2 linked regions of the Rhinolophus ferrumequinum genome follow. The protein of the gene in region 2 interacts with the protein of the main gene of each other region in a biochemical or structural test. Links are inferred from orthologs where the notes say so. Each region holds a gene or a part of one and is shown on either strand. Other genes may lie near its edges.

What was found.
Region 1: the proteins of APBB1 (region 2) and EVL form a complex in vitro, tested with the Homo sapiens proteins (2 studies listed by BioGRID). The link is inferred for Rhinolophus ferrumequinum from reciprocal best matches to the Homo sapiens genes APBB1 and EVL.

What each region holds. Positions count from the first base shown.
Region 1 is NC_046289.1:4,350,671-4,358,565, forward strand, and holds the start of EVL (ena/VASP-like protein), read right to left. Parts: upstream 3,079-7,895; 5' UTR 2,796-3,078; coding exon 2,773-2,795; intron 1-2,772. UniProt on the Homo sapiens protein: Ena/VASP proteins are actin-associated proteins involved in a range of processes dependent on cytoskeleton remodeling and cell polarity such as axon guidance and lamellipodial and filopodial dynamics in migrating cells.
Region 2 is NC_046294.1:45,383,311-45,390,683, reverse strand, and holds the start of APBB1 (amyloid beta precursor protein binding family B member 1), read right to left. Parts: upstream 3,014-7,373; 5' UTR 2,882-3,013; intron 2,587-2,881; exon of another isoform or gene 2,435-2,586; intron 2,254-2,434; exon of another isoform or gene 2,186-2,253; intron 1-2,185. UniProt on the Homo sapiens protein: Transcription coregulator that can have both coactivator and corepressor functions. Adapter protein that forms a transcriptionally active complex with the gamma-secretase-derived amyloid precursor protein (APP) intracellular domain.

The DNA.
Region 1 (7,895 bases), on a different chromosome or scaffold from region 2:
AAATCATCGTGAAAATGAATTGTGTCAACTGTTTATTAAGGCCTACTGTATGTCAAGCAGTTTTAGGCACGAAGGAAGCAAAGTTAAAAACACAGGATTCATGAAAGTTCTCGAGAACTTGTAGTCCAGTAGGGAACAATGGTATGTACATGTGTCTGTATCAAAACCAGACTTCCTTTTTAAAATGAACGTGGCCCTTATGCTCTCAGGGTTGGGCTGTGTGTATGGAGGGGTGTATCCACACGGGAGGACCATAAACATCGTGGACAAGCTGATGGGGTCCCCCCAGCACCCTCCTCCCCTGACATTCACGTAGAAAGAGCGCTGTAATGTATAAAGTTTAAGCCCTCACTGATTGCTGACAGCATTACAGGTTTGCTTGGCAAGAACTGCTATCCCCATTTTTCAGTTGAGAAAATGGAGACTGAGAAATATCAAGACACCTGCGCAGCCCACAAAGTAGTACCTGAATCCGACAGAATCAGGATTATAAGCCAAGGCCTGATTCTCACCCCGCATTCCTCTTCCCACTGCTCTGAGGCCTCCCAGGAGGAGGAGGGCTGCTGTGACATGGCCATGGTTTGACCTCCCCTTGACCAAGACGCTCTGAGGGTCCTCCTACCTGTACTTGAGCTGCTGCTTTTGGCTCCTGATTTTTTTCCCACCTGTATCTCCATTCTGCCTTTGCCTCCAACTTCCCATCTCAGTGACAACATCTGCTTTCCCCAAGCCAATGTTCTCAGACCTGCAGCATCAGAATCACCTGGGAACTTGTTAGGAATGCAGGTTCTCAAGCCTCACCATAGACCTCCTGGATCTGAACCTCCGGGAGGGGCCTGAGCAATCCGAGTTCCGCGAGCTCTCCAGGTGGCGAGCTCTCCAGGTGAAGACTGCTGCATCCGGCAGCTCAGGAGCCACCCTGACCTAAGCGAACGGGCTAAGCATCTTTAGTCTCTGCTGCCCCACCGTGATCACCTGGCCCCGGCACACGCAAACTCTGTGACTAAAGAAGAAAGCCATTTGTCTGGTGCTGAGCAGCCGTCACAATGCAATCACACGCAGCCAAGCTCTTCAGGGCTGGCTCAGGCAGAAGCTTGACGCCGGGTCAGAGGCTTCCTCCTTCTGGCCTACTTTCCACGGAGGCCCCACTTCTCAGGTCAGCAGTGCAGTGGCCTTTACCTTGACCCCTTTCCACCTCATCAGACCCAGCTCTGGGCTCTTGGGCGAGGAGCCACCGCAACGGTACGGCTCTGTCGATACATGTCTGTGTCCCTTAACTATGAAATGCAGCGAAGGCTCCCAGCTTTGTTCCAGGCAGCAGGTAAGGCTCACTCCATCTAGATTAAATGCTAACAATCAAATACGACCCTCATAATTATGCTACTTTCTATAATTTATAAAATTCTTTTGTAACTCTCACAAGGATCAGAAAAGCTAATTTTGAAACTGGGATTAGAACCCAGGACTCCTGTTTCATTCCCTAAGGAACAAGCTACTGTAATATGTCAAACATTTAATAAGTTCTTGTTAGTAATTAGTGGAGCTATTACAAAACAGTAAGTTCTGGTCACTGTGTAAGGGCACAGGCCCCATGTCACCAGAGCATGTTGCCACATGAAAAGAATGTCCTTTGCACAAGCCTAGTCCATTAGAAATAATGCAGGAACATGCTATTAAACAAAGAATAACTTCCTGGATCCAAAGCCCCAAGTTATAAAAAGGGCCACCTTTGTAGCCCTGCTTTGTGGAAATCTGATGATTCTCTCATCTACTTCCTTGATTTTGATGGAAAGGTCTCTAGTTTCCTCTTACAAATAATGGAAAGTGGTTACTCTATCAACATTTAATGTCTGTAGCAGCAGCATGGAGGTTGCCTCACAGTCACTTCTTTGACCATCGACATGGTATTTATGCTCAGTTCTAAAATACACAGAAATTCCTCTTGAGAAATGAGAAGCTGTCAGAGGTTAGAAACACACACACAGATACACTCTCTTCCATATGTTCCAAAGACATGGAAATATGCACACGCATGATCAGATAACCCTCCCATTCCACCTTCTTATTTTCATGTCTTAGAAACTATCTCTGTGGGAATGTGGGAACATCCCTTCCCACATTCACACCCAGGGACAGATTCCCGGAGAAGAGGTGGAAGAAAGAGAAGCAGTAAGATTCACAAAAGACTCTAATTTGGAGCATTAATAATAGAGCAGCTGAAAAGCTTGCAAAAGCAAAGAAGGGCCCTGTTAACAAAACATTCAGGGCACTTCCCAGAAACTGGCCAGACACAAGATTGCTATTGACAATGAGGAAAATCAGAGCCCGAATCAAATCTCAACTGAGCAGACAGATGTGCAGAATTCGCTGTTACGATTAGCATTTTTTAAGAGAGCAGTAGACTCCATGAGTTTGACAAAGGAAGAAAAACAAAAGATAGCCAGAGACTCATTCTGGATAAACAGTTACCATTCTGTATTCACAACTCTACATCAGCAACAGCACCTCAAGTAAGGCACAAGGTGGGGTCCTCTGCAAATTTGCACACCATCATACCAATTATCCATGCTGCGTTTGTGCATGCGGTAAACACCTTGGATCTGCACCACCTCTGTGCCTCCCACCCACCCCGACTGGGGTAAACCCCACCAAATGCAGAGAAGAACCCCTTTCTGTCTGAGAACCAGCCAGAACCTAAGCTGGCATTACACAGCAAAAACCTACGAGAACAAAAACCCAGCGGCAGACTGATGTAGAAAACCCAGAGCATACCTGAATTCTTCAAATGCGAACATGACCTAGTCAGAGACAATTTCCTTAGATTGTCTGGTAGCCTTTTTGGTTTGGAGGACAACCATTTAGTCAGTCAGATGGTGCAAAGTGCAGGAAAAAGAGGCGGGGTTTCCACACCCCCCAAGATTCTGAAGTAAAAGGCTTTCTGCAGACAGGGGCCTGCAGCCGCCAGCTCTGCCAGCTGCTGACAGGCGGCAGCTAACAGGGGAGGCAGCACGAAAACCATGTGATCATTCCAGCAAGTCTGATTAATGCAGTGTATGCTTAGGCTCCAGGCTGGGAGCTGGATTAGTCCAGGGAAATAAGTGGAACCTCGGGCACGCCTGGGATCCTCGGTGAATCACAGAACACATCCCACCTCCACCCAGAATTCTGCAGGGGGGCAAAAGCAAAAAGGAATGAGAATGCAACCTGTTCTACTGCGGTCTGCCTGATTACCTCATCTTCCTGTGGCTGCTGCTGCTCTAATGACCAGGTATGACCACCGTGGTCAGCGAACATGGTGTAGTGAAACCCAGCTACACTGGACTGAAAATTCTGCAGAATTCTGAATCTTACCCATCCCTACCAAGCATTACTTTATCACAAACGCATGAACTGCTTTGGAATCACAAAAGTCCCATTTTATGCCCACCTCTTTACCATGAACAACGTGACCTTCTAGGTCAATCGTGATGGCTGATCTCATTTATTCAGTTATTCATTTATTGAGTGTCTAATAGGTACCAGGGTCTTATCAATTCCTTGATGTACAAAAATTGCCGTAATAATTTCAGAACAGAAGTTTAAAAAAAAAAAAAAAAGAAACGAGATGTCAGCCAAAAAAGGGAAATGTTTACCAGTTTGTAAAGCCCAAGCTGGCAAGATCTGGCAAATGAGCTGCGACTGCATTCTGAACTTGCCATTAAGAAGAGTCTTTCTCATTTGGACTGCAAATCTGTATAAAACAAGGGAGGCAGATCTTAAATAAAAACCTGTGAGTCACTCTTGACTTTTTTCTCTCCCTCATACCACAAATATAATCACTAATTCTGATTCTACCTCAAAAAGGTTTCTCTGAATCTGACCCTTTCCCCACGCCCACCAACGGCCTGAGCTCACACCTGCAGCATCATGCCTCCAGCATTTCTCACTTGGTCTGCTGTGTTAGCAACTGGTCTTTCCATCCCTTCTCTCAAAACCTGCCAGAGCAATTTTTCTAAATCTGATTTTCATGCCCCCTATTTGAAACCTGCATTAGTTTCTCAATGCCCATAGGATTAAGTGAAAATGCCTGAGCCCAGCATACCGAATCTGACTTCTCCAACTCTTTCTTCCATTAAAACTCTTCACAAACCCCCAAATCTAGCCAGACAGCCCCAGTTCCCTAAATTTGCCAGGACCTCCTTTCTTTGGTCCATGGGCCAACTGCCCAGATTATCCCTTGCCCCCTACGTGACCTGCGCCCTTCCAAGCAGTGCATACTGTTCCCTCGGCTCCGTCCCCAGGACCGTTAGCCACTCGCTCTCCCTGCTGCCGGTGGCACCGCCTTACAGCATGCTGCGTGCGCCCCACGCATCTGTGGTCCTTGAGGACGCGGGCTGCGGGAGACTGTTTCTGTATTTCCAGTGCCTGGTACGGAGCCTGACAGAGGTTCGCTGAATGAACCTCCTTCTGTGCAGCTTTCTACCAGGGAGAGTGACCTGGTTCTTGTATGAGGTGCTCTGGGATGACCGCACCCCTTTTCTTACGTTACCTCTATCATGAAGAGAAGTGAGAGTCCAGAACTTGCCGCAAAGAAATGAAGCGATAATGGCCAACTGAGGCGGACTGATTAGTGAGAAAGAAATTTTGGGGAACCCCATGGTCCCTCACACCAAATAGCAATCATCAACTAAGAGGATCCAGAACGTCTCCCACAATATTCCGCACAAGTCTCTGCCTGAGACCTTCTAGGGGCAGAATCATGGCATAACAGAAAACACAGGAGTCAGCCATTAACTAACCCAGGCTGAAGTCCCAGCTCTGCCTCTGTGATCACTGACAAGCAACGTAGTCCCGAGCCTGGGATTCCCCAGAGGTACATCTGGAATAATGTGGACACTGCCCACGCCTCTGTCACAGAATGCTTGTAAGGACCCCACAAGGTGGGACAGTGGAGTCGTGAGCGGTCTTCATCACGTACACAAATTTTATAGGAACATTCTTCCTCCCCTTTGTTACTTCACAAGCCGGTCTCCCCGGGCAGAGCTGATAGCTGCCGGCTCTTCGTGCTGAGGCCACCCGCCTCCCTCAAGTGTTCTGTCTGCCCGTTCACTGGTCGCTTGTTTACTTTTGTTTTTTTTGAGCGGAAGAGGAGCAAGGAAGGTATTGCTGTCCTGTGATTCTCAGGACAAGGGATGTGTGGATATGTGTATAAAATCACTGTCCTAAATCCTAAGTTAAAAAATAAAGCACTGGAGCTGACCTAAGTCTTGGGAAGAACAACTCACCCACACCAAATACAATTATATGATGTTTTTATTTATTAAACTACCTGGGGTTAGTCAGATAAGTGGGGTTGGGGCAGCTGGTTATCAACCAGTTGCAAGCTTCCCGAGGGCAAGGAGACACTCAGTATTACGTGATGGGTTTGCTGGTTGGTAGAAAGGCCAAAACCTCCATTCCTGGCACTCTTTGCAAGGTATGGAGAGGAGCTGCAGGGGTCTTAACTCCCAGCCGTCTGGCCCAGTGGGAACTGGCCTTTCCCCTGGCCACCAGGCAGGCCCAGTGTGACCGGCCTGGTGGGACGGAGAACCTCTGGACTTTGTGCCTTTCTCTACCAGTGACTCAAGAATCGCCTCTTTCAGGGCCATTCAGAAGGGAGAGCGCAGAGCGGACAGAAACGGTGAAAAATCTCCAAATCCTAGCACCAAGTGTATTTTAAACAGAATTTTATGAGATCCCCCAATTTACTAATAAGGTACTGGGTGCCAAATGGTTAAGTAACCTGGCCAAGGTTATATTGCTATTAAGTGGCAGAGCAATGACTTGGACCCAGGTCCAAGGTTTTTAACCTCTGTGCCCTCCTGGCGTCCCAATACCAATGATCCAACTGCCCCAGGCTGCCTCCCTGAGAGACTGCCAGGCAGCCTGTGCCTGACAGAGGGCTGGGACATGATCACTCTCTGGGGTTCTTTCATCCTGCTGGACCCTGGCTAATCCCCAGATTTCACGGCCAGGCAAGAGACCGCTAAGGGCTCCAGAGAGCCTCAGCTGCCCCAGGAAGGAAGGGGTGGAAACCTGAGTTGACATAGTCTCAGGACCAGGTTGGGAACTGGGTCTGCTTCCAAGGCTGGGTGCTCCCATGTGACCTCTTGATAACCGGTAACACCAAAGTGTTAGGAATAAGGACATAAGTAAGGGTCCCTGACTCCTGACCACTCCACGCCTCACTCAATGGCACTCCTGTGACCACACAGTGTTGGGAAAAAAAAGTCATCCCAGGTCGTCCACCAATGACTCAAGGCTCGGAGAAAGCATGTTGCTACTCTGGGACTTGTGTGTCCTTTGTCACTTTCAAGGAACAGCCAGATATTAAATTTTTAGCCTTCTGTTTTCTAAAATACCACTTCCGTGGAAGGTAAAGCTGATAAGAACAGAAAACGGATCCAAGTAGCCAATTCCGGCCGAAGGAATGAAGAGCCCGAGTCCCTGCTGCCGGGTCTCCTCTCTCCCCAGCAGGGACAGGCCCTGCCGCAGTGTGCAACCACCTGGCCTAAGTGACCTGGCAGCTCGTCAGTGCCAGCACCCAGGGCCTCGCCAGGCTCATGTCATCACACTCAGCCTAGTTAATCTGGACTCACTCCCTCTTTCTAGTCTCATCCTAAGCACCAAAGCTTCCTGACTAGGCCCTGCTGCCATCTGGGCCTGGCCTGCTGCAGTTACTGGACGTGTATGCTGGCATCTCCAGAAACAAAACAGATACTGAACAAAAACATGATGGTGAACATGAGGTATCCCCCGGCCCCTGACAACTGGGGAAGCTAAATGAGAGGGATGTTTGAAATCTATCTGAAACAGTGCTCTTAGCTTAACAGGTTCAGCAAGCAACGTCTTTCCCCATGAAATGGTCAATTTCCCACAAAGGTGAACTTCGGATTTGTCGGTGCCAAATCCTCACCCCAGCTCGTTTGGAGGCTGATGGTCTGAGAGTGTAAATCCCTGTGGGTTTGCCTCACAAGCAGTGTCTCCTCTCCCACTGTGTTTAGGCTGTAGGCACACAGCCCTGACATGATGTACGTGCAGCAAAATAAAGACGGAGCAAATGAAGAGAGTCTAATGTTCCCATCAAGTAGAACAGAAACGCTCTTCTGACACTTACAGAGGTGCACGCGCACTGCTGAGCTGTGTATAGACAACCAAGAGGAGACTTAAATGCAAATCAGTTACAGTCATGACTAAAAATACGATTCTTTCCTCACGGCCCATCCGTGGGTTTTTCCAACAAGCAGGGGGCCGAGTGGAGGTAAGAGGCACTCACAAGTGTCCTCACTGGAGCCTCACCTCCAGCACCCTAATTAAGACTCCCCTCACCTCCATCTTCCTGCCTGCCTTCCTCCCTGTTGCACACAGCCACCTGTCCTGGCACCTTCCAGTTGAAACCCGCAGAATGAAGTCTCGCCCCCAGCCTGGCATTCAGCTCCTCCACACACCTCCCACACGTGCCAACCAGATCCCCACTGACCCGGCACACTTACTCACGCCACCTCCCCTGTTCCAGAGCTTTCCTCCTTCCGCCTTCTCTCCACAACGGTTTGGAAAGTGTGCTTCTGAATCCAGTTCAACTGTCAACCTGAGAAGCTTCGGACAAATTCTTACCCGTCTAAGCCTCAGTATCCTAATCCGAAGACGGGATCACAGCACATCTGGGGGTGCCCCAGAGGTGACCCCCTGGCACACATGAACCACCATCGACAGCAGCTAACACTGTGGCATATGCTTCAAAACTCCATCGAGTTCCCCTCCTAACATAAACCAGCCCATGGTGACCATGACAACTTCAGAATGCCTGAGAGGCAATAGATATATATTTTTAATCTCACATATCGGCCTGGGCTGAGGAGTAGCCGTTGTCCATTACC
Region 2 (7,373 bases):
CTCCACTTGGATGTCTCAAAGGCCTCTCAAACATGCACGCTCATGTTTCTCTCACTCACCACTAAGTGGTCCTCTTTCAGGATCCTGGATCGTGGAATGATATGACCAACCATTCTGTTGTGCAAACCAGAGGTAGGGGTACCATCCTTGACACTACCTTCTCCCTGACTCCCTATACTTAATCCATCTCCAGGTACTGACAATTTTCTCTCTGAGACATATTTCTAGATTTGATCTATTCTCCATATCCACTACCATCAACAATCCACACCAAGAACAAAGACCTTAAGACCAAAATTTGTAACATGGCCTCAGTTGTCCTGCTCAGTTATCCCTGCCTATCTCTCCAGCTCTGGCATTCTGTTCTCCAGCCTCATCGGCCTTCTTTGATTCCTCAAGGATAATATGCTGTCTCTTTCCACACGGTGTTTGCATTTGATTTCCCTTCTGCCTGGAACCTCCTTCCCCTACTTTCTCAGCCTAACTAAATTCTACTCATATTTTACCTCAGTTCAAATGTCACGTTCTCAGAGAAGCCTTCCTGGATTTTCTCTCCCTACCCGCCAGACCAGTTTAGCTTGTGCTCTTTTGTGTTCCCAGGGCACCATCCACATTTCCTTCATGGTATTTAGTACAATTTGTAATTTTATTCTTATTTAATCCGCCCCCCCCAGATTGTCAACTCCAAGGGGATAAGGAACCAATCTATTCTGTTCATAATTATATCTTCAGTGCCTAACACAGTATTTAGTATATACTAGGTGCTCAAAGCATATTAGTTGAATGAATAAATGAACAAACAGATACATTTTTTAAAGGATCATACTGTGTTGAGAGTAGTTATAGGGAGGTAGGCAAGAGGGTATGCTATTAGACCAGTCAAGGGGAAAAGAATGATTGTGGCCTAGATTAAGTTTGGTGGCAGTGGGGATGGAGTAAAATGAATGCATTTGAAAAATATTTAGGTACCAGGATGTGACAGGACTCGGTAACATTAGATGTAGACTGTGAGGGAGTAGAGGTTAATCTAGAATGTTGCCCAGGATTACAGCTTAGGTAACTGATCAGAAAGTAGCCATTTCTGAGAGTTAAAGAAAGAACAGATTTGGAAGAAGGCTAGAGAGGGAACATAGGGAAGATAATTCAGCTTGGGATCTATAGGTTTGGATTCCTGCTGGACTTCCAAGAGGATGTCGTGAGGGCAGTTGGATATTGAATCTAGTCTGAGCCAGATATCTATATCTATATCTATCTATATCTCTATATCTATCTATCTATCTATATCTATATCTCTACCTATCTATATGTCTATATCTCTCTATCTCTATCTATGTATATATCTATACCTATAGGTATAGGTATGATCACCTATAGGTATAGATATAGATATAGATAGAGATAGAGAGATATAGAGATATAGATAGATATAGATAAATAGAGAGATGAAATTTGAAGCCTTGGGAGTGAATAAAATACCCAGGAGAAAGTGCAGAATGAAAGAAGATAGCTCAGAACAGAACTAAGAGCTTCACTGACATCTAAAGGAAAAGGAAAAAGGTATCAAATAAGATTGAGAAGGAGCAGACAATGCCAGGAGAGAAACCAGGAAAATGTTTCAAGGAGAGTTGACACACACCACTGAATACTATGAAAACGTAAAGGGGATAACAGTAAAGTGTGCATTGGACTTGGCCACATAGAGGTCTCAGGTGACCTTGGCTTGAGCAGTTTCAGTTGAGTATGAGAGACAGAAAACAGAGTGAACCGGTTTTAAGAATGAATGGGAAGTGAGGAAATGAAGACAGTAAGTGTAGACAAGGTTTTGTCTTTGAAGAGTGGTGTAAGTTGGGGCTATGCTGGAAGGTTTGGAATGCAAGAAATGCACAGGCAGATTCAAAATAGGTTTCGGAACAACCTCTGAATTGGCGGTGGGAACACTGCTCCTAATGAGTGCTTCTGTGAGTGCTAGGCCTCCTGGCAGAGCTGGGGACACAGCCGGCCCCAGAGCACACTTTTCGGTCGCTGAGAGCGACAGAATGCGGCTTGACAGATTCCAGGCCTGGGACCCTGCAGGAAAACGTGCGGCCTCTGCCTACCTCACCCCACGTCCCCTACCCAGCCCTTCACCTCCCATCCCCCATCCCCCACCCCCCACTGCCCCTCTCTTCGCGTCTCCAATACTTGCCCCCTATTCATCCCGGAGGGGCAGGAGGTAAAGGTCCGGAATGACCGTGCTGAGGACCGAGGTGGAGCCTACAATGGAGGTGGGGGAACAGGAGATGGTGGGAATGCTCGCGGTGCGAGGACTGCCAGCGGAGATGGGGCCTGGCCGGGGGTACCCGGGCCCCCACGGGTAAGGGGCTGCGCAGTCCGCGGGCCGCTGGGGGTCGGGATCCGGCCTCCGGGGCTGGGCGCGGGCCGGGGCAGCTCCTACCTGCGCGGGGAGGCCCCAGGCCGAGGTGGCGGAGGTGGCTCAGGCTGCGGGGCTCGGGCTCCGCGGCGGCTTCTCCATCACAACATCCCCCGCCCAGGAGCGCGCGGGCCGCGGGGCCGCGCCCCGAGCTGCGAGGGCGCGCGCGGGCGGGGGGAGGGGCGCCATCTTGGGCCGAGCGCGGGCGCGCGAGCGCGAGCCGCTCGGGGCTGCACTTGGACGCAGTGTCCCGAAGGGCCCCACCCAATGCCACCCTGCGGCCTCTGTGAGCCCACCGCGGAAGCCTCACGCCAGCAGCTACGCCAGCGCGGGGTTCCCGGGTCCCACAGCGCTACCCACGCGTCTGCCGACCCCTACCCAGCCCGACACCGCCCTCCACCCCGAGGCCCCGGAGTCGCCCTGTGCGCCGGCAGGGCCCCGCCCCGCACCCCCGTGGGGCGACGCACCCACCGGGTAGGAGCCTGGGTGGCTGTGGCGGGGCCAGCCCGCAGCTGCGCAGGGAGGGCTCCGAGAAGGCAGCTTGCTCCGCTCTTGCGGCAGCACTCCCGGGCGTCCTGGTGGAGAGGCGATGAGGACACAGCGCTGGCGATAATAATAGCTCGTATTTATTGACCGCTTACACTGTGCCAGGCTCTGTGTTAAATCCTTTACATGCATTCATCCTCGCGTCAGACTGACCCCTGTGAAATCGCCGCTATTGTTATCCTCATTTTTCAGAGGCAGATGCTGAGATTCAGAAAGGTAAAAAGATTTGCCTGCAGTCACAAGGTGGTGAACTCAGACTGGAACCAGATGTTTCTAGACACCCTACCCCTGCTGCTGAACATAAAGCTGTGACACCATGGCCTTGCAGGTGTCAATAAATCGCTCCCCAGTAGAAATACATAAGAGGTAATGAAGAAGGGGAGAATGGGTGAAAAGTGTGAAGGAAGGAATAGTGGGGCACAGTGTTTACTGCAGATTGCCTGGATAGTGCCATCGTTCCCAGTGGTCAGATCAGTGGCCCAGAGGCCACCAAGGATCATGAGGGGATTGTTACCATCCTGAAACCCTCTCATGGCTCATTCCTTTAAGGCAGAGGTTTTCATTTATGGTAGCTACTATTGTGCAACTGACTGGAGGTGCCGTCAGGTTTCTAACACTTAAAGGTGCCCAAATAGAAATTCGTTATTTCATCCCCTTTATTGGCCTTCTAAGAATTTTCACTGGGGTGAAAAAGAACGCTCCCCAACACACTCCATGTGCATGCACGCGCACGTGTACACACACACACACACACACACACACACACACACAAGAGTAGAGGCAGCTCCACTTCCTCCATCCCAGAGAATGACACCACCATCTACTGGCTTGCCCAAGCTAGAAGCCTCAAGAACGTCTTTGACTATACTTTCACTTGACTTAAGGTGAATATAAATGTTTTAATGTTTTATTATGGAAATTTTCAACTGTATACAAAAGGAGACAGAACAGTGTAATGAACCCTCATATACCCATGACTCAGTTTCAACAATTATCAACTCCTGGCCAAGAGTTTATTATGATTTGACAAACCTCTATGATATATGTATGAACCATGTACCAGGTCCCGAGCTAAGTTTAGGGATCCAAAGATGAATCCGATTTGACTGTAACCCAAACTGGAGTATATAACATCTGATCCTGGTCCTTGGAAAATGAGTAAGAGTTACCCAGGAGAAGAAAGGTGTCCTCATTCACTTATTCATTCTCTTTTGACTAATAATTATTATGTGTGAGACACTGTCCTTGGTGCTAAGCACACATGAAGAAACAAGATTCAGTTCCTGCCCTCTTGAAGTTTAAGTAACAGGGGAAAGACACATTAAACGTGATTAGAAATGTGATGAGTATCTTGAATGAGATGTGCAGGATGCTAGGTAAGTGGACTAAATTTTGCCTGGGGAGATTTGGGGAGGCTTTAAGAAGGAAGTGGCACTTATGTGAGGGGAATGGGGTGAAGGCAATAGAGGTCAGCCATGGAAGAGAAAATCATTCCAAGTCAAAGGAGAAGTACGAGAAGGCCAGTATGGGTGATAGCGGAGAGGCATGGCATAAGTGGAGCTGGAAATGTGGGTAGGTTCCAAATCAAGAAGGGCCTTGTATGTTACGCTGAGGGTTTTAAAGTTTAGTTTAAGGGCAATGGAAAATCATCAAAGGGTTTGAGGCAAGGGAGTGGCATGTTGTCCCTTGCATTTTAGAAGATCACTTCTGGCTGCTAAGTGGGGAATAGATGGGAAGAGAGCAAAATTGGCAGTGCAGGGACCAGTTAGGAAGCAATTGATATAGTCTAGGTGGGAGATGACTATAGTGGTGGGACGAGGATGGAAACAATTATATGGGTTTAGTAAATATTCAGGAGATAGAAATCAGTGATCAATTGACTGATTGGCTATGAAAGTATGAAGGAAAGGATGCCTTCCAAATTTCTGCTTGAGCAAATAAAAAGCCAGAAATATTATCAGTATACTTGTCTTCCCAACCCCATTGGGCAGGATGGCTGCAATATCCAGGGAAATCTCTTCAGGTAACCAGAGGAACACAGATAGGATGGTCAGGGTGTGAAAGAGTAGACTAATTAGCTAAGATGCAAAAGGAAAATGTGCAGTTCACACACAGTGCAGTTTGACCCACACACCGTCTTCCTGAATCCCTGATCTCCTCAATGGGGGAGATCTGCAACGCCTCCTGATCAATGGGTGTCAACCTGTGCCCTTCATCCATCCTTTCTCTACTTGTTTCTCTTCCCCCTTCTGAGGCTCTCCATGGCCTAGGAGTAAACAATAGCTTATGAACCACCTCAGATGCTGTGTGTTGTTCTAACCAATGTAGATCCCTCTGAGGCAGGAATCTTTTAATATTATTCCCTTGGACTTATCAAGAAAAACTTGAATTAGAAGCAAATCCATTCAGAGTCATTTAATCAAGAGCACTGGCTTTATGCATTACCAGGAAGTTGGCACCCAAGTCACCTATATGGAAGAATAGAGCTTTCATCTGTATTAGGAGCAAAGTCACGAAGTGGAGCAAAGGTAGCTTTTTCTACCACTACATGTAAGTATTGCTTTGGTATTGTAATTTTTCTTGTAGTTGATCCAATAAACCCTCTTTCTTCTGGGTGTTTGTTATCATTTGGAAAATGTATAAGGAGTAAAATCTTCCCACATAATGTATGGAGTGGAATTTATAAGTCAGATGTTGGGTCTGGCAAGGACTTCTTCAACATCCTTCTTTGGCAGGACTATTTTAATACATTCCCAGGGAGAGCATATAAGGTGAGAAGAGAAAAGGACTGAGGACTGAACTCTGGGAATGCCAACATTTGGGGAACCAGCAGAGGAAAAGAAGAAAACTGAGAAGAAACAGACAGTAAGAGGAGAATCAGGGGAGAGTAGTGTCATGGAATAAATCCAAGGGAGGGAAGATTTTCAAGGAGGGAGAAGTGGTCAGCAGCATCTAATGCAGCAAAGATTTCCAATAAGGTCAAGGCAAAAAGTATCCTTTGAATTTGGTAACATGGAGGCCATGGATACCCAGGATGTGATCTGTATCAGCAGAAAATGGAGGCAGAAGCCATAATGCAATGAGTTGAGCAAATGAAAATGAGGAAGTAGACTTAGTAAGTGCAGAATGCCTCCTTGAGAAATTTGGAAGAAAGAATGGACAGTAATTGAAAAGTGATATGAAGCTAAAGATTCTGATTTGTCTTTTCTTTTTAAGGTGGTAGAGACTTGAACATGGGCATACACTACAAAAAGGTACCAGGGCAGAAGATGAATTTGAAAGTAAAGAAAAAAGCATCTGAGAGATGGAGCAAGACCCTGGAGGCAATGAGAGGAGGTGGGATCAAGGGCTCACCAGGAGAACTGGAAACCTTAACTCTACAGGCTAAAGGGATAGGCGTGAGGACACGGGTGTAGATGGGGTAATTAATAAAGTGGGAGCAGGCAAGAGGTTGAGGTACTGCATGCCTAGTGACCTCAATATTTTCAAAGTGTTTAGCTGAGGAAGGGACGGAGGGTTGCATGGAAAAGAAGAAAAACCTTACAAGATAGGTATTATCCTGTCATGAACATATTGTTGCGTTTGCTGTTGTTATCTGCGCAGCATCCATTCCCCATTTTACCGGCAACAGCACCTCAGTTTTCTTTGAGACACGTCCCCTCACCACTCTAAGTCTATGTGGTTCAAATGGAAATCATTTGAAGTGGGTCCCACAACCCACTTCAGTGTTAGGCTCCTAACCCATGATGAGATCAAAGTGATCAATTCAGAGATGGGCACATGACTAAATCTGGGTCAGTGAAAATCAGATCCAGGAATTTTCCTGCAACTGTTGGGCAAGAAGTGCTGGTAGAACGTACGCCTGGTGGATATCTTGCCACCAAGAAGGATGAGCCTGCCTGAGAATGAAGCAGAGCTAAGGGAGGGAGAGAGACAGACGCCCGATAACGTCACTTTAGCACTTATATTTACCTCTGCCTGAAGTAACATAAGTCAATACATCTCCTTTTTGCTTACACCACTTTGAATTGGGTTTTATCACTTGCAAACCAGACTTATGACGAATACATGTGGCAGATATTGTGTGTTGGTACTAATTCCCACACCCACTCTTCTATAATCTCCCCTGTACTAACAGGGCTGGAAATCTGAAAACTACAGTTCTCAAGACTTTTTTGTTTCTTTATTACAGCGAGGTTCTACCAATGGGAACCTTCACATGAAGAAGATGGGAGGAAGGGAGAAGTCCTTCTGCTTTTGGCAGTTCATCTGGCAACATTAGCTTCTGATTTTGCAAAGTGGGGGTGGCTCCCCCACAGTTCAGCAATACAAACTCCAGCCACATCAGCAGCTAATGCAGATTTGTAGATTCCAGCTCCTTGATCTTTGGGGCCTACCTTTTCTCCATTTTGCTTCT